Linked DNA regions of Xenopus tropicalis. The protein of the gene in region 3 purifies or fractionates together with the protein of the main gene of each other region. This does not show direct contact. Links are inferred from orthologs where the notes say so. Each region holds a gene or a part of one and is shown on either strand. Other genes may lie near its edges.

Evidence for each region.
Region 1: the proteins of prpf8 (region 3) and sf3b3 fractionate together in Homo sapiens (co-fractionation; 4 studies listed by BioGRID, with this or other methods). This does not show direct contact. The link is inferred for Xenopus tropicalis from reciprocal best matches to the Homo sapiens genes PRPF8 and SF3B3.
Region 2: the proteins of prpf8 (region 3) and ruvbl2 purify together in Homo sapiens (affinity purification with mass spectrometry; 3 studies listed by BioGRID and IntAct, with this or other methods). This does not show direct contact. The link is inferred for Xenopus tropicalis from reciprocal best matches to the Homo sapiens genes PRPF8 and RUVBL2.

Annotation. Positions count from the first base shown.
Region 1 is NC_030680.2:75,051,176-75,058,614, forward strand, and holds part of sf3b3 (splicing factor 3B subunit 3), read left to right. Parts: intron 1-2,169; coding exon 2,170-2,321; intron 2,322-2,486; coding exon 2,487-2,642; intron 2,643-2,765; coding exon 2,766-2,921; intron 2,922-3,049; coding exon 3,050-3,193; intron 3,194-4,144; coding exon 4,145-4,267; intron 4,268-4,362; coding exon 4,363-4,517; intron 4,518-7,439. UniProt on the Homo sapiens protein: Component of the 17S U2 SnRNP complex of the spliceosome, a large ribonucleoprotein complex that removes introns from transcribed pre-mRNAs.
Region 2 is NC_030683.2:113,415,710-113,423,248, reverse strand, and holds the start of ruvbl2 (ruvB-like 2), read left to right. Parts: upstream 1-3,369; 5' UTR 3,370-3,565; coding exon of another isoform or gene 3,566-3,614; intron 3,615-4,602; coding exon of another isoform or gene 4,603-4,658; intron 4,659-7,027; coding exon of another isoform or gene 7,028-7,039; coding exon 7,040-7,169; intron 7,170-7,539. UniProt on the Homo sapiens protein: Possesses single-stranded DNA-stimulated ATPase and ATP-dependent DNA helicase (5' to 3') activity; hexamerization is thought to be critical for ATP hydrolysis and adjacent subunits in the ring-like structure contribute to the ATPase activity.
Region 3 is NC_030678.2:45,521,347-45,528,785, forward strand, and holds part of prpf8 (pre-mRNA-processing-splicing factor 8), read left to right. Parts: intron 1-946; 5' UTR 947-957; coding exon 958-1,057; intron 1,058-1,579; coding exon 1,580-1,748; intron 1,749-2,057; coding exon 2,058-2,222; intron 2,223-2,714; coding exon 2,715-2,933; intron 2,934-3,060; coding exon 3,061-3,273; intron 3,274-3,357; coding exon 3,358-3,483; intron 3,484-4,316; coding exon 4,317-4,422; intron 4,423-4,518; coding exon 4,519-4,709; intron 4,710-5,509; coding exon 5,510-5,629; intron 5,630-5,709; coding exon 5,710-5,899; intron 5,900-6,569; coding exon 6,570-6,689; intron 6,690-6,793; coding exon 6,794-6,928; intron 6,929-7,006; coding exon 7,007-7,136; intron 7,137-7,384; coding exon 7,385-7,439. UniProt on the Homo sapiens protein: Plays a role in pre-mRNA splicing as core component of precatalytic, catalytic and postcatalytic spliceosomal complexes, both of the predominant U2-type spliceosome and the minor U12-type spliceosome.

The DNA.
Region 1 (7,439 bases), on a different chromosome or scaffold from region 3:
ATATACACTCAGCTGTATATTCTGTTTCAAAGATAAGTTTAGCACACGCACTAATGGATATTTTGTCTAGGAATGAGATTGAGCAAATGGTGAGCAGCATCCTTTTACAACAGTTACAGTAGTTTGCTGAAACAGAGTTACAGACATTGTCATAATCAAACTGCTTTTAGGACAGACCCATTTTTATCAGAAATCAGAAATCAATTCAAGATTAGGGATGCACCAAATCCAGTTTTTCGGGTTCCGCCGAATCCACCGTGAGGGATTCGGCCGAATACCGAACCGAATCCTAATGGTGGTGAAAAGTTTTTCACTTCCGTGTTAACATGACAAAAAGTCATGTGATATTTTGGATTCGGTTCACCCAGGACCATGGATTCAGCCAAATCCGAATCCTTCCAAAAAAAAGCCAAATACCAAATCAAATCCTGAATTCGTTGCATCCCTATTCAAGATCTGATATTTATCAGACCCTTTAATAATTGGTTCTGAAGTCTAGCAACTGTAGCTGTCTGTGAAGCCACAACATTTAAGAAATAATAAATGATAATTTCCTAAAGTTTTTTTTATTTTTGTAATACATTTAAAATGGAACTTTGCCTATGAGCTAAAGGCGTCTAGTAATCTAATGTTACCTGGGTGGAAATGTAGTTCTGTATGCTAAAGACACTCCAGAGAGACAAAAGAAAGTGTTTGGAGTTTCCTAAAGAACAATATTGCCTGTGCGTTTGGATTGTTTGACTCAGAATATTGTGTCCATTACCTATCTATCCTTCAACATTAGATGCCTTATGTTTTATTCGTTAAATGTAACGCCTATAAGATTCTGATTTGCTTTGTACAGTTGCAGGAAAGCAAATGCCCTTTCAGGCACTCACTCATCACAGGCCTTGGTTCAGCCTTTGTGGAGGTACACGAATCGAGATCAGCCCAAAAATCACAGAAGCATGCATTTTCAGGCTGATCACCACTCTGTGTAGCTCCACACAGGCCGAGGCCTAAGCCTGTCAATTGAGCGAAAGCAGTGAGCTTTATGAGCATATGTTAGGGAGCATGAACACTGATCTGCAGGCAAAGGAAAGTGGACAATCCGCTATGTGGGATCTTGCCTCAATTCTTACTGAATTCGTAGATCCCTAGATTAAAAACAAAAGTGAGCTTTTGAGACTTTGTAGTACATTTAATCAAATGGGTATACCCCAAACACTAAAGGCACACTTGTGATGAAAGGCAGCATGCATGTTTAGAATCCAATAGTTTAACTGGTTTATGCAGTAAAATATAAGGAAATAAGGGCAGGGGATATTGTACGCATTTAATTTGATTTTTTACATGTGTGAGAGCAGTCACTTTGTTTTATCTTGAGGCCATATTCATCTGTTTAATGTTTAAATCCTGCTGGTTGAAATGTTAGGTTTGTTCTCAAATCACCTTCTGGGGATTTTTACAGTGCTGGGCCTTTCCATACAAGCATGGACTACACCCAGAGGAGCTTTCACCTGGATAAGTGAATGCTGACCTAGATATTGACGTGTGTGTGTGTGTGTGTGTGTGTGCTCCTTCGTAGGGTATGTAATTACTAATTTGCATATGTTAGGGAGCTGCCATGGTCACTTATTCTATCTTGGGCATTTACCTTGAAACCATGTGTTTTGTCTGTGTGGCATCACACTTTCTTCTAAATTAATATGTAGATTGCATTTTTACATTGTTAGGGAAACTATATTGGTGGTAATCAGTTATGACAGTTTCCCCTTTTAGTGCAAAATGTTATTATTATTATAATGTCCGAATAAAATTGCCTTTAACATATCTTGGATAGACAACACATTTGTGCTTTCTACCTAAACTGTAATTTGTTAGGTAAGGAATTGCAAGTTTTGCAGTTATGATTTGTTTATATAGTCTTTGACTGGTGTTTCTCTGTTACGTTTCTGTGTGAGCAAATGTATAATTGGGTTTTAGCTGTTTATTATTTTGTTTAATTGGGCGGACATATGACTTGTTAAAGGGTTCTTATGACAGACTGATTTTATATTCAAAGATATGTGATAAAAGTGGCTTGATTTGTGATTTTATGCAATTTGGGGACTTACCAGAAAGGTGTTCTGAAGCTCTTGATTTTGTATAGATACTTTAACTGGTTTCTGTTGTCCTGTCTTATTACAGATGAATATGATGCTTATATCATTGTATCGTTCGTGAATGCCACTTTGGTACTCTCCATTGGTGAAACCGTAGAAGAAGTGACAGATTCTGGTTTTCTTGGGACTACTCCAACTCTCTCCTGCTCCCTGCTTGGTGAAGATGCCTTGGTACAGGTACATTATGCCATTGAAATGCCTGAATATGTATAAATATTCAGAATGACTGTGCATAAATACGAATTTAAGTCATATGCTTACCACGTTCGAATCTAAGGGAGCAGAGTAGTTCTGAAGGTGATTGCTAGTCAAATATGAGAAACTATTTAATTTATTTTCTAGGTGTACCCTGATGGCATCAGACACATACGTGCAGACAAGAGAGTAAACGAGTGGAAAACACCAGGCAAAAAGATCATTGTGAAATGTGCTGTAAATCAGCGTCAGGTAGTGATTGCTCTGACTGGAGGAGAGCTGGTGTACTTTGAGATGGATCCTGTAAGTGGAGGTTTAACGGGGAACCATTTGGGACCCTGTCTCATAAACATTTCTAAGAATTTATGCTAATTTGTGTTTTTATGACCTGCTGTGTTTTTTTTTTTTTTGTTCCTTCTCATTCAGTCTGGGCAGTTAAATGAGTACACTGAAAGAAAAGAAATGTCAGCTGATGTGGTATGCATGAGCCTGGCTAACGTACCCCCTGGAGAACAGCGTTCCCGATTCTTAGCTGTAGGGCTTGTCGATAACACTGTTCGTATTATCAGTCTCGACCCTTCGGTAGGTGCCATTGAGAATTATCGTCTTGTGTAGTAAGCAGGCTGCATCAGATATAGTCTTAAAGACAATGTTATGTTTTGTGTGCTGCCTGGTTATGTCTAACAAAATCCATTTTAATTTTTCTTCAGGATTGTCTGCAGCCACTTAGTATGCAGGCATTGCCCGCACAGCCAGAGGCCCTGTGTATTGTAGAGATGGGTGGTGCAGAAAGACAGGATGAGCTGGGAGAACGTGGTTCTATTGGGTTCCTTTATCTTAATATAGGACTTCAGGTAGGTTAATTGTTTTATAATTATTTTAGTATATACTACTACTTCCAGTGATTAGGACCACTGTGGAGTTGCTCTTGAATGGCAAGTAAATGTCTTAAAGCATAACTGACACCAGAAATGATGCTTTTTTTAATTAAATATTGTTTTATCTTTGTATCCTCTCTTTAATTTCAGCCTATATGGCTATCACTTTTATATTTTTCTGATCTCGTATGTTTCTCTCTGAGGGGGCTGCCATATTTGGGCAGCAGTAATCTGTTTGGAAACAGATTTTAGTTGGAAAATCTAGCCAGTTGGAATCTGGAGTTGCATATCACATACAAACGCTGTCTAATTAAACTTTTGAATGCTGAATGCTATAGTACAGATGTGGATAGTGAAGCATCCAGGAATGAGGCATTTGTGTTCACTTGAGCATATTTGCTCTAATAGCCTTTGAACTCCTAAACATCCAGGGTGGAGTTTTATGTGAGGTGATTATAAGCTGTCCCGTGTCTGCCTTGTAAGGAAGAAAGCTGCATATGTGTATATGCTTTTTATCTGTAAGGTAGAGAGCATTTCTTTAAAGTAATGAATTGCTGGAGGACTAGTTTGCATAGTTCTTTTTTTTATATGAGCAGTGTGAGATGCAGAGACTGCCAAGAAGTAAAGGAAAAAAAGATCCGCCCAGCTTCCTTTGATATCCGTGAAGAGAATAACTAACTGACAGGTTGAGAAGTACCATTTGGGTTTTCAAAACAGTCATGTTTTGGATGTTAAGGTGTCGATTACTAAATAAAGCAGACATCTAGGCAGAAAACAATCAATATAACCTATAGCTAACTGTTGATATACAACATTATTTTGAGGACTACATTTTTGTGTCAGTATCGCTGTTTATAGCTCCGTTCTTGTATTACAGAGAAGCCCTAAAGAGGTCCTACATTTTTCTTTTTGTTTTCTCTTTTATAGAATGGTGTATTGCTTAGAACAGTCTTAGACCCAGTTACTGGTGATCTTTCTGATACCCGAACTCGATATCTTGGGTCTCGACCTGTCAAGCTCTTCAGAGTTAGAATGCAGGGACAGGAGGCGGTAAGTTTCTTTTCCCTATTTCTCCATTTTTAAACATTTTTGTTTTCTGTATACGATGTTTGTTCAGTATCAAACCTTATCATGCCTGCTTACAGGTCCTGGCCATGTCAAGTCGTTCCTGGTTGAGCTATTCTTATCAGTCACGCTTCCACCTCACCCCACTTTCTTATGAGACCCTGGAGTATGCTTCTGGGTTTGCATCTGAACAGTGTCCTGAAGGAATTGTTGCTATTTCTACAAACACACTGAGGTAGGTGGGAGTAAACCAGGTTTTATTTTGTGCTTCTTCTAGGATTTTCACCTTTGCCTGGTATTAAACCTGGACAAAGGGGCATGCATGATTACGTCAACACTAGGGGGCACATTTACTAATCCTCAAATCCAAATCCCGAATGGGAAAAAATTGGATTGGAAACGAAAATTTAGCGTTTTTTTTTTTTTTCGTCGCTGTCGCAGGGTTTTTGTATTTTGCGCAACTTTTTTTTCTCGCGGTCACGACTTTATTGTATTTTGCGCAACTTTTTTCCGTCGCAATTTTTTCGTAAACGGCGAAAAACCAATCTGAATTTGTCGCAACGGCAACGAAAAAGTTGCAGAAAATATACGAAAAAGTCGTGCAAAATACGAAAAAATCATGACGGTGACGAAAAAGTCGCAAAACTACCGACCATTACGAAAAAAACTCATTCGGGCGCTTTCGGACGTTCGTGGATTAGTAAATGTGCCCCTAGGTGTCACTGACATCATCATGGGGGGGTTATTGTCTGCCGAACACAATTTTGAGGGTTTCTGCACCGTTTTTAGAAACTGTTTGAAATCGGGCAGAAGGTATAATAAAGGATAATAACCACAACTTGTTGAATAATCCTTTGTTTTTTGAAGAAAAATATTAATACTGCTTTTCTTGTTTATTAATAAACAATCACTGTTGGAAATAATTGGCCAATGATATAAATCAGTGCTGTCCAACTGGCGGCCCGCGGACCCCCCTCTGTGTGGCCCCCCACCTGTCTGGCTGCTTTGATGGCTTACTCTTGTGTAAGCTTTAAATGGTATCAGTACTGTGATTAACTGCCCCCCCCCTGCATGGTTCTCACCTCAGATTCAGGCTGTATTGTTTAAATATGTAATCCCCTGTACTGTTAACACCTTTTAATGTATGCATTGTTCACCCCCTGCAGTGTTCACACCTCAGGCAAACCCACAAATAATCCCTGCATACTACAAAAAGAACATATACTGAGGTGGTACTGCAATTAAAAAGTTTTTTAATATATAGTTATTGTGCAGACTGTAGGAGCAGTGCCAGCATTGTGTCACTGTAGGCTGCCTGTGTGTGCCATACACACAGGCAGCATAGGGCAAGCAGAGTATGGCACACACAGGCAGAGTAGGGCAGGCAGAGTATGGCACACACAGGCCAAGTTTGGCACAAACCAGCCAAGAATGGCACACACAGTGAAAGTATGGCACACGCAGGCAGGGTAGGGAAGGCAGAGTATGGCACACACAGGCAGGGTAGGGAAGGCAGAGTATGGCACACACAGGCAGGGTAGGGCAGGCAGAGTATGGCACACACAGGCCAAGTATGGCACAAACCAGCCAAGAATGGCACACACAGTGAAAGTATGGCACGCAGGCAGGGTAGGGCAGGCAGAGTATGGCACACACAGGCAGGGTAGGGAAGGCAGAGTATGGCACACACAGGCAGGGTAGGGCAGGCAGAGTATAGCACACACAAAGGCAGGGTAGGGCAGGCAGAGTATGGCACACAGGCAGGGTAGGGAAGGCAGAGTATGGCAGGTTTTTGCTGTACTACAACCATTAATATGGGTATGATCATGTGATAACATGGGGGTGGTTTCAAGTGGGTGCAGTTTCAAAAAGGGGAGTGGTCAAAACTGGCTTCCATTATTGGCCCTCCACCACGTAGGCGGAAAAATTCCGGCCCTCGGTACAACAGAAGTTGGACAGCACTGATATAAATAATCTTGGAAAGAACTTTCGTTAAGGCTGGTGGACTTTATCGTGGAGGATGTTCCACAGGTGGTGTCTTTTTAACTGGAAAATACAGATTTTTTTATTAGGGCAGGGCAAGTTACATTTGGACAGATGCCTGAAATTGGGTCCCAATGAGGGCTTTAGCTACAAGTTTTGGAGGAAAATTTTGATCAAAGAAGACATGCTAAGTTTTTTTTATTTTTGCCTGATCATATTGTATAAGGGGTTTTTTTTTTGTTAGGTAGCTTGGGCATTAAAGAAATGTATTAATTATAACCATTTACTGTAGTGACCCCTTGTCACAAATCTGCTCCAAGCGGGACAGAAGGTGAAAAATGAAACTTTAAATGTAAATATTAGAAAAATGTTTTAGAAAACAATAAAAGTGAAAAAAAGAGGGGTAAACTACCCCTCACTTAGTAGTAGTCAGAACTAGCAATTTGGATCTTTTATACATTAAGGGGCACATTTATCAAAGTACGAATTAGTCCGAATGGAAGAGATTTTTATTTTTTCTGACTTTTTCTGCGTGTTTTCTGCAAAATTTTCATTAATTTCCGCTACTTTTTCGTACTTTGCAACAATTTGTGAGACAAAATTGTATTTGTCATAACGAGTACAAAAGTTTCAGATTCATTCAAGCTTTGGTATCATGACTCCTTTGGCCAGGTTGGAGCTGCAGAGTGCCATTGAGAGGCATGGGAGGCTTCCAAAAACATGCACTGAGGTTCAAAGTTTTTCGCACCTTTTACGATTGTTTGGATACGAAAATTTTGGAACTTTCGAATCGCCCCACAATATTTTCGTACGACCAGGATGCGATACAATTTTTTCTTAAACATACTTTTCAAAGTCCGAAATTTGGACTTTGATAAATCAGCCCCTTAGTCTACTAAAAAAAATCAATTAACATTAAATAAACCCGATAGGATTGAACTCTCTCATTCCTGAGGTTTACAGGCTAAAGCAGCTTTAAAGCAGTTAAAAAAAACTTTTTAATATAATGAATACGAACCTAAGGTTTAGTCTATCTATCCCAGCACTGTTTCCCTGACAGCATTCATGATAGAGTCTACTCAACTTAGCAGCTGTATTATCCTCCCCATTTGTGATACCACCAGGCAGGCTTGACTTTGTAACTGACTGGACTGAGCTTGTAATGTTAAAAAAT
Region 2 (7,539 bases), on a different chromosome or scaffold from region 3:
ATAGTAGATGGTGTGCCCATGCAGCCGCCTGAGGAGGCCAAGTTGATGCCGCCCCCCCTCTCCCCCTGCGCTTAGCTTTTTCGTGTCAGAGGGGGTGAGGGGGGACAGCATTGCTAGCTCAGAGAGAGAAATAGCACTCTCTGAACTAAAAGAGCAAAATTCCCATTTAAAAATCAGAATTTCGTCTTTTTAAGTTACCAGGAGCGGATTTTTGCCGCCCCTAGTAAATCACCTGGCACTGTCGCCTGAGGGGAGTTTCCTGCAGGGTCGGACTGGGGCCCTGCAGGTGCCCCCAAGTCCCCTAACCCTACCCACTGGGGCGCCCGTAACCCTCCTGACTTCCTCCCCTGAGTGCGCATAAGTTTAACGCCTCAGTGGAGGAACAGTCGGGCAGGGGGAGCGCTGGCAAGTGTTGGGTCTGGCCGCCGGGGCCCACTGGGATTTCTCCCGGTGTCCCAGTCCTACCCTGTGTTAAAACTATTTTGTGCTATGTTTGTGCACTACGGCACATTGTACTGTCTCACAGTATGGGGACAACACACACACAGCCCAGGTTTTACACACATTATAATTAAGACACACTGGTAAATTGCTTAGAATTGCATTCTCCGCTTCCCAGAAAAATTTAGATGGAAACCCCTTTTATGATCCTTATAATTAAACCTACCCTCAAGTCTACTATGGCCTCCCTGTGGTGATTACTATACTCTATTACAGTGATCCCCAACCAGTGGCTCAGGGGTAACTTGTTGCCCCCCAACCCCTTGGATGTTGCTCTCAGCGCCCCCAAACCAGGGAGTTATTTTTGAATCCCTGACTTGGGGGCAAGTTTTGGTTGAATAAAAACAAGATTTCCTACCAAATAAAGCCCCTGTAAGCTGATAGGGTGCATAGAGGCCCCTAATAGCCAATCACAGCCCTTATTTGGCTCCTTTTTGGTGCTTGTGTTGCTCCCCAAGTCTTTTTACATTTGACTGTGGCTCACAGGTAAGAAAGGTTGGGGACCCCTGCTCTATTAGAACGTTATACCACAACCTCGCAAAATATTCTGAACGCGTACAAACGCAGTAACCTAGCAACCAATCCCTTCAGAAACGACATCCCGCCCCAAAGCCCTGATAACCCCGCCATGTAAAATTGGTTCTTCAGAAAAGGCAGCAGAGAACTCAATCACTCTATTTAACTACAATTCCCAGAATTCCTTTACTCACACACCTGCGCCAAGTCGTTGCGTGAGGTGTATAGCGCTCCCTTATTGGATAACTATTCTCTCAGTGGGAGGAGCCGCTGGCTGCTCAGGGCTCGGAACGCTTGAGGAGGGAAGTTGTTTCCACGCCGGAGTCTTTAGACAGTCGCACCAGCTGTTCTCTGGCGGTTGGAGTGATAGTGCAGCATGGCAACCATGGCGGTAAGGTACTTGGGATTTTTTAGGGTTAATGTGTTTAAATAGCTGAGACGCTGTTGAGGCGCTCGGCCTTCCTTGGTAATATTCTACCTTAAAGGCGCCATGTTATCCCCCTGTTATCCTATATGGTATGTTTAGTCTAAGGCATGGCTTCTGGTGTGTGCCTAGTAGCGGCCCCTGAGCTGCTCTGGTACTGCTTCCTCATTGGGCTAACACAGCACATCCTTTTCTTATTGAGTGGGGCTTATTTACTGAGCTCGTTTGCACCTGGGCAGTAACCAATAGCAACTGGGCAGCTTTGTTTAGCCACTCGCAGGAAGAATAGTTAAATGACAACTAAACCTAAAATTGCTAGAATGTGGCAGCCACACCTTCTCTAATCTCTGGCCTCCTTTCCCAGGCTGGTGCTCCATTCTATTTAATGTAAAGCACCTTGTTGCTGCCTCCCTGCTTTCTTCTAGGTACCACTGAGGCTGTAGGTTAGTGACTGGTATCATGGCTGTCATGGTCGGACTGGGCTGTGAGACACTGGGGAAAAAAACCCGGGGGGCCCCGCCGACCCAGACCCGATACCTGTAAGTGCTGCTGCAACCCTGCTGCCTTTCCTCTATGTTTGTGGCTAAGTAAATGTAGGTGAGTGTAGTGGGGGCCCCGGGCACCCAGCCCAACACTGCTAACAATATGGCACCCCACCACAAATGTATGTGTATTTTTCCTCTTTACAGCAAACATTTGTATTTCATTGGTTGCCATAGGTTACTTCATCAGGACAGTTTTGCTCTATGTTAGTCAACATATAGTGCCCAGGGAGAGGCAGCAGGAACCTGACCAGGCCAAATGGGGTATAGGGGGCACTGCATATAAAAGAGTAACCCAGATCTACACACTAGCTCCAGAGAAACAGCCTATAACAGATATGAGATACTTTTCCTGTGGCTATGCATAGGTTCAGGTTTGTAGTTACATGGCGTAAGATTTCATTCCTTTATCATTATTGGAAAGTGAAAAAGAGCTCTTGTTTCTATGCAGTATATTCAGGCCTCTTAGTGCAGCCAGCCTCACCAGAACTGAAACATTTACTCCATAGCATTCTGCTCAGTTGACTGCAAAAAGCTGAACTATGGTTGCCATGGGGTTCTGCATCACCGTAGGGCATGCATCTGTTTGTAAATTCCCCCCTCTGTGAAATGTGTTGGTGTGTATGGCCACTTTTATATGGAGCAGTAGTGTTGGTTCATGGTAAGCAAATTAATTACTCTATAGTTGAATGCAATGTAGACCAAAGATGCTTTCCTCCAGCCTTTCCATCATCCTTGGATATAGCCATGCAGTAGCTAGGGGGGTTGCTTGTGGTGTAGTGGCAGAGGTATGCTGAATATTCTGGGCCTCTGGGGATGAATTATTTAACACGGTGTTAGTCTCAGTAGCTTTGTTTTGCTTGTTCCTGGATAGACAGTCTGCCAGTTTAGCCCATCTTTTTTTGTATGACCAAAAAAAAAAAAAAAACAGCTTCCTGGTTACGAATTGTCCAGAATAAGGCAGATTTTTAGTGCAAATGTTAGTAAATCCTTTCAATTAGATAAACTGCTCACCTGCTTGAGCTGTTATTTCACATCATACTCCCTGTCAGATGGCTTGTGTTGCCTGGTGTGACAGGGGTGTATGTAGTTGCTCTTGAGTACTATAAGAGTAAAATGACTCCAGTTCCATGAATTACCCGTGTGTTTTGGGTATCCTATAGCAGGACAGTTTGCCTTGGTTCTTACCATCCCGTATCCTATTGTTGGAGAATTTGCTTTGCAAACAACCTTGATTTGTTACTAGGAAACCGTTTGTTAACGGGGAAGATCCTTAGGGCAGACTGTTAGGATGGTAATGACAGGCATAGGCCGAGGCAGTTTGCAGTTGTTCTTATATAAAGGTAGGGCTAAATGGGCATGAGGTGGACAAAAAACAATGTTCAGCTCACAACATGCAGGGGTGGGGCAAATACATTTGGAATTCTCAAGAGGTAATCTCACATTCTGTAGAAAACATTGGTGAATCTTTATAAGCCAATGTCTCCTGCATTTATTTTGCTGCTGAGTTGTAATTAGTATTTCATGCATTGATGTCTAAAGGAAACCGTGATCAATATTCATGGTTATTTATGTCTCATAGACAACCAAGGTGCCAGAGGTGCGAGATGTCACCCGGATTGAGAGGATTGGTGAGTGTAAAAATACTACAAAAATAAACACAAAAATAACCTGCTAAACATGATGTGGTTCCCATGTAGCCCTCCTATTCAAATAACTGAATATTTTAGAACTCATGTATTCACCTCCATTGCATCGTGACACTTTTTGTTTCCATGGGCAGCAGTGCAGTTTAATCAACAAACAGTCTCCTTGGTGATAAATAGCTACAGAGGGTTGTAACTTTGCTGCAATCCCAGGCATTAGCATCACAAAGTTCCATCACTATTTTCATTTACTTTCAAGCCAAATGTGTTTAATTTTATTTATCTAATTGCAACAACAATTTTAAACGCGCATTATACACCCCTTTTCAAAAATTTTGAGTGCTGAGCATAATTTTTTGCCTGTTTAAAGTAAGAAATATGTTGCTAATAAGGAATGCCCACAGTGCCTTTTTTCCTACACTTTGGTCAAGCTGTTGGCTCTGTGCCAGATTATTTTGATAACATATATATATACTATATATGATAAAATAAAACATATATATTGCTTAACAAATATCCAAATAATAAAATATTTCAAGGAAACAATTTGTACATGTAATTGCAAATGAAAGCAGTGTCTGTTTATGTTTTTCTCTAACTCGCTTAAGACAATATATATTCACCTCCATATCCATTAAATCAAACAGCGGCTTCCAAGCCAAAATTAGTTAAAGAGCCCCACACAACACAGAAACCCCTAATATACCTATCCCTGTAATCTGTTCCATTAAAAAGTATGAATAAATACCATTTTATATGCTGAAATCCAGCTGTAAAACATTTATTTTTCTGCATTTGGCATCCTAGCATTAGCACGTGTAACAGTGCATATTAATTGTATGAGGTAGTCTGGGTATGTATAGATTAATACAAAAGATATCCAACACATTAAAATTAGTCTGTGTTTTGTGTTTCCTACCTATTAACTGCTTATTTTTGTGTATATAGTCTAACATTTGTCTCTCTTTGCCAGGCGCACATTCTCACATCAGAGGGCTTGGCCTTGACGATGCGTTGGAACCCCGTCAGGTACTGAAAGCGCTCTAATACTATAATATGAATGGTTATGAATTTTTGCTTATAATGACACTGGTTAGCGTTAGACAAGCAAGTGGCAGATTGGATACGTGTCGATCTGTCCTTCCTTCTAAAAGTAAATTTAACATCATATGTGCAGGGAATTGTGGGATTTGGAGTATGCTGGCTGAAGGCAGGCTTGTCAGCCAGATCAGCAGGAGAACAGGGGGCAGGGCTAAGGGAACTGTTCTAAACCATATTACATACAGTGGTGTGAAAAACTATTTGCCCCCTTCCTGATTTCTTATTCTTTTGCATGTTTGTCACGCTTAAATGTTTCTGCTCATCAAAAACCGTTAACTATTAGTCAAAGATAACACAAGTAAACACAAAATGCAGTTTTTAAATGAGGGTTTTTATTATTTAGGGAGAAAAAAAATCCAAACCTACATGGCCCTGTGTGAAAAAGTAATTGCCCCCTGAACCTAATAACTGGTTGGGCCACCCTTAGCAGCAATAACTGCAATCAAGCGTTTGCGATAACTTGCAACGAGTCTTTTACAGCGCTCTGGAGGAATTTTGGCCCACTCATCTTTGCAGAATTGTTGTAATTCAGCTTTATTTGAGGGTTTTCTAGCATGAACCGCCTTTTTAAGGTCATGCCACAACATCTCAATAGGATTCAGGTCAGGACTTTGACTAGGCCACTCCAAAGTCTTCATTTTGTTTTTCTTCAGCCATTCAGAGGTGGATTTGCTGGTGTGTTTTGGGTCATTGTCCTGCTGCAGCACCCAAGATCGCTTCAGCTTGAGTTGAAGAACAGATGGCCGGACATTCTCCTTCAGGATTTTTTGGTAGACAGTAGAATTCATGGTTCCATCTATCACAGCAAGCCTTCCAGGTCCTGAAGCAGCAAAACAACCCCAGACCATCACACTACCACCACCATATTTTACTGTTGGTATGATGTTCTTTTTCTGAAATGCTGTGTTACTTTTACGCCAGATGTAACGGGACACGCACCTTCCAAAAAGTTCAACTTTTGTCTCGTCGGTCCACAAGGTATTTTCCCAAAAGTCTTGGCAATCATTGAGATGTTTTTTAGCAAAATTGAGACGAGCCATAATGTTCTTTTTGCTTAAAAGTGGTTTGCGCCTTGGAAATCTGCCATGCAGGCCGTTTTTGCCCAGTCTCTTTCTTATGGTGGAGTCGTGAACACTGACCTTAATTGAGGCAAGTGAGGCCTGCAGTTCTTTAGATGTTGTCCTGGGGTCTTTTGTGGCCTCTCGGATGAGTTGTCTCTGCGCTCTTGGGGTAATTTTGGTCGGCCGGCCACTCCTGGGAAGGTTCACCACTGTTCCATGTTTTTGCCATTTGTGGATAATGGCTCTCACTGTGGTTCGCTGGAGTCCCAAAGCTTTAGAAATGGCTTTATAACCTTTACCAGACTGATAGATCTCAATTACTTTTGTTCTCATTTGTTCCTGAATTTCTTTGGATCTTGGCATGATGTCTAGCTTTTGAGGTGCTTTTAGTCTACTTCTCTGTGTCAGGTAGCTCCTATTTAAGTGATTTCTTGATCTAAACAGGTGTGGCAGTAATCAGGCCTGGGGGTGACTACAGAAATTGAACATTGAATTGATAAACCACAGTTAAGTTATTTTTTAACAAGGGGGGCAATCACTTTTTCACACAGGGCCATGTAGATTTGGAGTTTTTTTTCTCCCTTAATAACGTAAACCTTCATTTAAAAACTGCATTTTGTGTTCAATTATGTTATCTTTGACTAATAGTTAACGGTTTTTGATGAGCAGAAACATTTAAGCGTGACAAACATGCAAAAGAATAAGAAATCAGGAAGGGGGCAAATAGTTTTTCACACCACTGTATATCTATGTAATATGGTTTGGAATGTATATTGCAAAGTTGCTTGGCATTATGTTTTCTTTTCAAAAAGCTTAAGTTGTGTTTGGATGAAGTCCACTTAAATTGTCTTTTGCAGTGTGCAGCTGACAGCCCTCTACATCCACTAAATTCACAAACACGCAGGTGCTTGATAACATCATTCAGCTTGTTACCTCCATGCTTCTTTCCTGAAGCAGATTTTATCTTTATTATTGACACTACATATGGTCACCAACTGTTCAGTGCATTCAAATATTTGGGGGATCTGGCTTAAGAATGCCTCTTAGTAATATGTTCATTTATCGAAGTTCCTTATAAACAATGTGAATAGAAGTGCAGGTACATTATTTAGGAATAGAAAACCTCTTGCTTGGTGCTTATATATTTAATCCCAGTTTAAGAAAGACAAGCTTAGAGACTTTAATAGGCTGTGTACACAATGGAGCACAGAAAGCTATTCTTATGTATTTGTGTAGGTATCGCAGGGCATGGTGGGACAGCTGGCAGCCAGGCGGGCAGCAGGTGTTATTCTGGAGATGATCAAGGAAGGTAAAATTGCTGGGCGAGCAGTGCTCATCGCTGGACAGCCGGGCACAGGGAAAACAGCCATTGCTATGGGTAAATATTTTTGTTTCTATTATTGTAAGGTATGCTACTTTAAGTATTAATATTATGAAATGCCAGGAATGGGGGGGCATTGCCCGTCTTCTTTTTAGTATACATTTAAAGTTAAAATGATTCATATGATGTAAATTACATATGATGCCAGTAAGCAACTGAAGATGTATTGATTTAACAATCTGTTAATGAGTTTTATGTATTATATCCGTATGTTTGTTTGTTTGATGTAAGATCGTTACAAATACATGGATATATTTTAGTGACATTTCTACATTCACACAAGGAGCCGTGACACTGACCAGTTACCTAAATTCAGTCAATAATATTATCAAACATGCCACAGACCAAGGAGCAGAGGGTAGGCAGA
Region 3 (7,439 bases):
AATCGGAGGCAGCAGCGTACAATGTAGCAGAAACCAGCTGATCTGACCTGCAATATTGTTGCAAGGGTTAGAACTGGGGTGCCTATAGGGACAAGCACTGCCTTTAACTACAGATACTTACAAATCACACAAGGTGTTTGATGCTTTGTATTACAGTATATAAAACTTCTGGAAAAGAACCAGTGTCCCCCAAGATAGAATACAGTAGTGACTACCATATATGTTTAGATGCCATGGGTTGGTTTTTGTGACTGAAAGATAAAACTTGGCTGAGGCAGAGGAAACTCACTGAATGTGTAAAAATCTGAACCTCTTCCACATTAACACTTTTCAAGCTTATGTAAGAAAAACGGTTCACTGGTTGTGCAGTTGTGGTATCTGTTATGAGCAGAAAGCTGTATGAAGAATTCTAAGCCTAAAGTTACTGTTTTTCCCCAAAAGCCAACAAAGGAATGATACTTTGCTATGGGATGCTAGGTGGTATTCTTCTATTTGTAGTAAATATAAATGGTCTACAACAATCAACCAGTAATCGTTGTGTAGCGTGCCCTACACATGGGGCCTATGTCTGGCACTGGCATAAACACTGGCAGCGAATGAACAGACACATGAAGTAACTATGGCTCCCAAACTGCTGCAATTTACCCTTAGTGGTGTTCATGCTAACTTCCCTGCCACAGCTCCAAGAAACCCCCACAGTTAAAAAAACATTAATCCCGGATATGGCATTAACACTTTATTCTGAATAGAAAATGTTACACAGCCTTCAGTTGGTTATTTGTGCAGTCCAGCTACACAAGTTCACTGCCTGCTTAATGCTGTACACTAGCCTAAAGTAAGGGAGAAACATTTTCTCTTTATGGTTGTGTTAAACATTTAATCATTCGTAACTTAAAAGCAATTTGATTAGATAAAATTAAGTGCTGCTATTTCTATTTTTTTCCAGTTTGAGACACCATGGCCGGGGTGTTTCCATATAGACCACAGGCACCGCCAATGCCCGGCCCCCCAGGTGGAACACCGGACTACATGTCTGAAGAGAAGCTGCAGGAAAAAGGTGCAACCTTCTTCAATTTGTTGTAAAAACCAAATGCTCTTTCAAAGTCCTTGCATACTTGGAGGGCTTCATGTGTCGTTGCTCAAAATGTAATTATTGATGAACTCGGCTGAATGTCACATACTAAACTAAATCTGACTAAAAGAATTGCATCTTCTGTGAACAAAAAATTGTTGCAGTATGCTTTATCATTTTAAAGTTGTGTGAGTGTTCAGTTTAGCTGAATGTTGGGTAACAGTAGTACAAATATATTAAAGAGGGAAGAAGGTTTTTTCTTTTTTAAATTTTGAGGATAAGTTAAGTACATACTGAGAAATTAAGCTTGAAATATCTTTGCTTGCTGATCATAGTAAAGAAACCACCTTTCTTTTTTGCCCAATTTTCTTAATTATGCAGGATTATGTTTGCGTTTTTGCTTCATGTTTAACACCAGTATGGTAGTAAATTGGATAGCTTATTCATGTCATATTTTTTTTAAACTGTATAGTTGTCTCATCCATGTTTCACTTATTTTGATTCCAGCACGAAAATGGCAGCAGCTACAGGCAAAACGCTATTCAGAGAAAAGAAAATTTGGGTTTGTGGATGCACAGAAAGAAGATATGCCTCCAGAACATGTTCGCAAAATTATTCGTGATCATGGAGACATGACCAACAGAAAGTTCCGACATGATAAGAGAGTTTACCTTGGGTGAGAGAATTAATTTCGGCAACATACCAGCAAGGCACTAACCTAAGCTGACAGACAGTAGTCCAGTGTAAATTAAAAAAAAAAAAGCCTGCAGAAGCAAGGTGCAGTTGTTTAGCAGGTAAAACAAGCAAAACTCAGTGGAGTGTAAGGATTGGAGTATTGCAGTACCACATTAACTAAACATAAATTGCCTTTGCACATTTTTTTAAATTGTAATAGTTAACCTCATGCTGTGATTTTATTTAACATTTTAAATTTCCAAAGTTCTGTTTTATGGTTAAGTGTATCCTGGTTTGTTTTTGTTTGTAGAGCATTGAAGTATATGCCACATGCTGTCTTAAAGTTACTTGAAAACATGCCCATGCCTTGGGAGCAGATCCGTGATGTCCCTGTGCTGTATCATATAACAGGAGCCATCTCATTTGTTAATGAGATTCCATGGGTCATTGAGCCTGTCTACATAGCACAGTGGGGGTAAGTGCATCTTGTAATAATATGGTAAATTAAACAGCTCTGTGTGCCAGTAGCCTGTGCAGGGCTAACAACATTAATTGATAATAAGCTTATGATCAAAATGCATTAAAAAGATAAAGCACAATCTAATTAAAAATCCTGTGCATTTATTAAGAGAGTTACTGCCATAGGTTTACATTGATGTTTCACAACATATTTGGTTAATTGGAAATGTTTTGTGATTTTAGTTCATGTAGATACAGTGCAAAAGTCTAACTTCCTAATGCAGTGCTAAGTGAAACATGCTGGGATTTTGGTGTTTTGTATCCTAGAAAATAGTGCAACTGATGCAATTACAGCCTGGCATATTGGGTCCTGAGAATAGCACTGCCTCAGTTTTATTGTCAGTAGTCATTTAAGTTTAATGTCCCTAAACCCTTTCTTTAAAAACAATCTCATATATGAATCCATATTCCTATTGACTTTGTATTTTCTATCACAATAATTTACCAGGTCAATGTGGATTATGATGAGGCGAGAAAAAAGAGACAGACGGCACTTCAAGAGGATGAGGTTTCCTCCATTTGATGATGAGGAGCCTCCACTGGATTATGCTGACAATATCCTTGATGTTGAACCCCTGGAAGCCATTCAGCTTGAACTGGACCCAGAGGAAGATGCTCCAGTCACTGACTGGTTCTATGATCACCAGCCCTTAAGAGACAACAGAAAGTAATGCTAGTTACTTACTCTATTGGTTTTTGTATCTGTAGACATAATGCTCATTTCTCCTTGTATTGGCTAATTTTGTCAAATAGTTTCCAAGCCATGTTTTATTTGTAATGCCTTTCATTTTCAGGTATGTGAATGGTACTACTTATCAGCGGTGGCAGTTTACACTTCCGATGATGTCTACATTATATCGATTGGCTAATCAGCTTCTGACTGACCTGGTTGATGATAACTACTTCTACCTGTTTGACCTAAAGGCATTCTTTACCTCCAAAGCATTAAACATGGCTATTCCTGGAGGGCCAAAATTTGAGCCTCTTGTTCGTGACATTAACCTGCAGTAAGTGATGTTGCTGTGATGTTTGTTTTTAGTACATTTCCTGGTGCAAGCAGATAAAATTGATTGATTTCTCTTTTTATACAGGGATGAAGATTGGAATGAGTTTAATGATATTAACAAGATAATTATCCGACAGCCAATTCGAACAGAATACAAGATTGCTTTTCCTTACCTGTACAACAATCTTCCTCACCATGTACATTTAACCTGGTAAATTGTTTTAATTTTTTTTTTTGTTTGTTGCTTTTTTTTATGCCTTACCTGTTAAACTAACTGTGTAAATGTCTTTTTTAGGGCTTTTCATTACTTCTATAAAGCTGTTTTAATTCATTTGTCTAACTCCGTATTAACTTGTAATTTGCTCTTGGAAAGGGTTAGCTTGAGTTTTCTGAATTTGTAAATTATGCGTAGGGCAGTAAATAAGCACTTTAGGATTGTTCTGTGAAGCTGTATTAAAGGAGACATATCATATAAAAATTAAGAATGTACCAGTGAATTATACTCCTCTAAATATTGAAGGATTGTGCTTAAAGTTGTCTCGGACTGGTTTATTGAGAAATTCCACCAAAACCCCACTAGTTTCGTCCATCTGTTCCACTTCCTGCTGGCTGAATTCTCTGGATGAGCTGGGGAGCTGGCAGCCCTCAGCACACTGCACTGTAGGATAGGAACCAATCAGCAGCTAGGCTGACCTCATAGGGAACTGAAGCCTGTCTGTGCTTGTGTGAGTGCAGGGCTCTGATTGGCTCTCCCCCCTCCTACTGTGCTTCTGGCAGGGAATTTTAGGACACGCCCACTCTTTATTTCACACTGGACGGAGAAGTGATACGATCTATAGGGAGCTTCAATAAAGGGGCAATTTTTACAGATAGGATTAACTTTTAGCCCAAAGTGATACCAGCACTGTATATTATTCATAATTGCCTACAATATTAGGGTTTTTTCCATTCATCCAATATGTCCTTTAACTTTTATGATTTACTTTTTGCAAAAGAGGAGAGAAGCTATTCGTGCCATGCTAATTGTTATGTTTTCATTCACAGGTATCACACACCAAATGTGGTTTTTATCAAAACTGAGGATCCTGATTTACCAGCATTCTATTTTGACCCACTGATTAATCCCATATCACACAGGCATTCTGTAAAGGTGAGAAATTCTAGAGTAAAGATAATTGGATACATTTTATGTAGGTTGGAAGTTATTCAAGGTTGTTGGTTTTCATTTTGCTTGCTTTCGTTATAGAGCCAAGAGCCATTGCCAGATGATGATGAGGAATTTGAATTGCCAGAATATGTTGAACCATTCCTTAAAGACACTCCTCTGTATTCAGATAACACCGCTAATGGAATTGCTTTACTTTGGGCTCCTCGTCCTTTCAACTTGCGTTCTGGTAGGACCAGGAGGGCTATTGATATTCCTCTTGTGAAAAACTGGTGAGCAAACTTTCATTCAGACTTCAGGTTTTATTGCAGTAGCTTGATATTTATTACTTTTCCTACAATGTTAACCTAGTTCCGTCAGAAAAAGTTTTGTGCAGGACAATTTATATAAAAGGTGCTTGATATTTAATTTTTAAAAATTTTACACTTAATATTCCTGCTGTTGGCAGTTCAGTGGATTTTTTTTTTTTTTTGAAGAGCCCATTGTGGCTAAAAATGTTTGTCTGCCAGGTAACCAGCTGCTGTTAAAGAGGAGGAAAACTCCGAAAACTTGCATATTTGTCTTTATTGCTGTACCTTTTACTAACTTTTTTTTTTTTGATTTAGTAAATTGAAAGAAAAGCTATACAATGCTGTTATGGTCTCTTGCTCAGGGCCTTTAACGAAACTGACTGTGACACAGTACTTTCCATTGTCGAAGAACAGGAACAGCACCTCTTGTCTTTTTATATGAAGATGTTGCAATAAAGGCATTTTAATTTAAAAAGACAAGAGGTCCTGTTCCTGTTCTTCGACATTTGGATATACCGATGGAAAGTGGCCATTGGGGAACCTGCACTGCCTCTAATTAACCACAAAGTTTGGTGCTGACTACTACTCTCCAAACAGTACTTTCCATTGTCAGCCTGTCCCAGAGTCATTTTGCCCCTGCAGATAGTCTTTAGATTATTGTTACAATATTATTTAAAGCTTGTTCAGAAATGAATAGGATCATTAAAATGGGATATTTGTGTTGACAGCATGTTTTCAGTGTTTAAGTAACTGACCAGTAAGAATATTCCTTTCATTCTCAGGTACAGAGAGCATTGTCCTGCTGGCCAGCCAGTAAAAGTCAGAGTATCTTACCAGAAATTGCTGAAGTACTATGTGCTAAATGCTTTGAAACACAGGCCTCCAAAAGCTCAGAAGAAAAGGTAAGCAAATTAAGTTACAATGCATGTAATCTGAAGTCTTGTAGTCTACTTTCTGCTAAATGATTATAATCCTTTTGCAGGTATCTCTTCCGTTCATTTAAAGCCACAAAATTCTTTCAGTCGACAAAGTTGGACTGGGTGGAAGTAGGCCTGCAGGTTTGCCGCCAAGGCTATAACATGCTGAACTTGCTGATTCACAGAAAGAACCTTAACTATCTTCATCTGGATTACAATTTCAATTTGAAGCCAGTAAAAACGCTGACCACAAAGGTATGTCAATGATTCTTAAATTGTGGGAATTTTGAAATTGATTCTTATCCTTTAGTGGATTATTTGCTGTTACATTTATACAGTGCCTTTCAAGAGTTTAGACCCTGGCCTGGACCTATTCTTACCTTAATGACAAACAAGCAAATCCCGCACTGGCATTTTGCTCCTTGTGATATTCAAAGCAATGAAACTGTGTAGGATTTTAGCAGCAGGTTCTCTACTTGCCCTGCCTAGTAGCATAGTAGTCACTTTATTAATTTAGAAAAAAGGAATAAATAAAGAATTAACTAAGGGTTATGAGGTGTATGACTTTTGCAGTTTCTGATAATTATGCTGTCCAGTAAAGGGTTTATAGTTTGCTTGTACTACATAGTTTCTCATTGCTTTACTAATTTGGCTAGGGTTCATGGTGAGCTCTTGTGAGCATAACTTTATGATCCACCTATGAAGGCTTGGGTAACACCCACTCTGACAAGTAGATGCAAAACAGTAACATATGCCACTTATAAGCATTTTAATATGAATACACTTTTTTTTTTTTAAGGTGGTTCATTAAAATCTATGATCTTAGTAGGGTAAAAACATGACTAACAGTTTTTGAAGAAGAATAGTTGGCAGAGAAAAGGGGTTAGTTTTCCTTTTAAAAAAGGAGCTTAACTTTGTATTATAGGAACGCAAAAAGTCTCGGTTCGGCAATGCCTTCCATCTTTGCCGCGAGGTCCTGCGTCTAACCAAACTAGTTGTGGACAGCCATGTGCAATACAGACTGGGGAATGTTGATGCTTTCCAGGTAAGTGTTGGCTTGCAATGTGGATTCTTAACTAATTTGCTCCAGTTGAAAGCAAATAAGATCTGAAACAGTACTGAAAAATCTAAATTTTTCTTACTTTTCAGTTGGCAGACGGATTACAGTATATTTTTGCCCATGTGGGGCAGCTGACTGGAATGTACCGTTACAAGTACAAACTAATGAGACAAATTCGCATGTGCAAGGACCTGAAGCATCTGATCTACTACAGGTTCAATACAGTGAGTATTTGCTCTTATAGTCTTACTTAGAATCGCTTTTCTTTTATGGTTTTTAACTGTATGTGACTGTCTCTGCAGGGTCCAGTTGGAAAGGGGCCTGGCTGTGGATTTTGGGCAGCAGGCTGGAGAGTCTGGCTCTTTTTTATGCGTGGTATCACACCTTTGCTGGAAAGGTGGCTTGGAAATCTGCTTGCTAGACAATTTGAAGGTGAGCTATTCTGCTCTTTCTAGAATGGTTTTTATGTGTCCAACATTTTGCTGCTGACTTTTTTTGAATGACCCTGATTGCTTTTAATGCAGTGGATGTTTATTTTTTTAAGGATACCCTCTAATTAAGGAGACTCAATTTATTGGTTCCCCTTGGAGCTTCTGGAATAGTGCACATCTGTAGCGAGTTATCACAGGAGGCTTTCATTTGTGGAGCTCTTACGGTCTCTTTAACCTTTTTCATATCAGGTCGCCATTCCAAAGGAGTTGCGAAAACTGTGACAAAACAGCGAGTGGAGTCTCA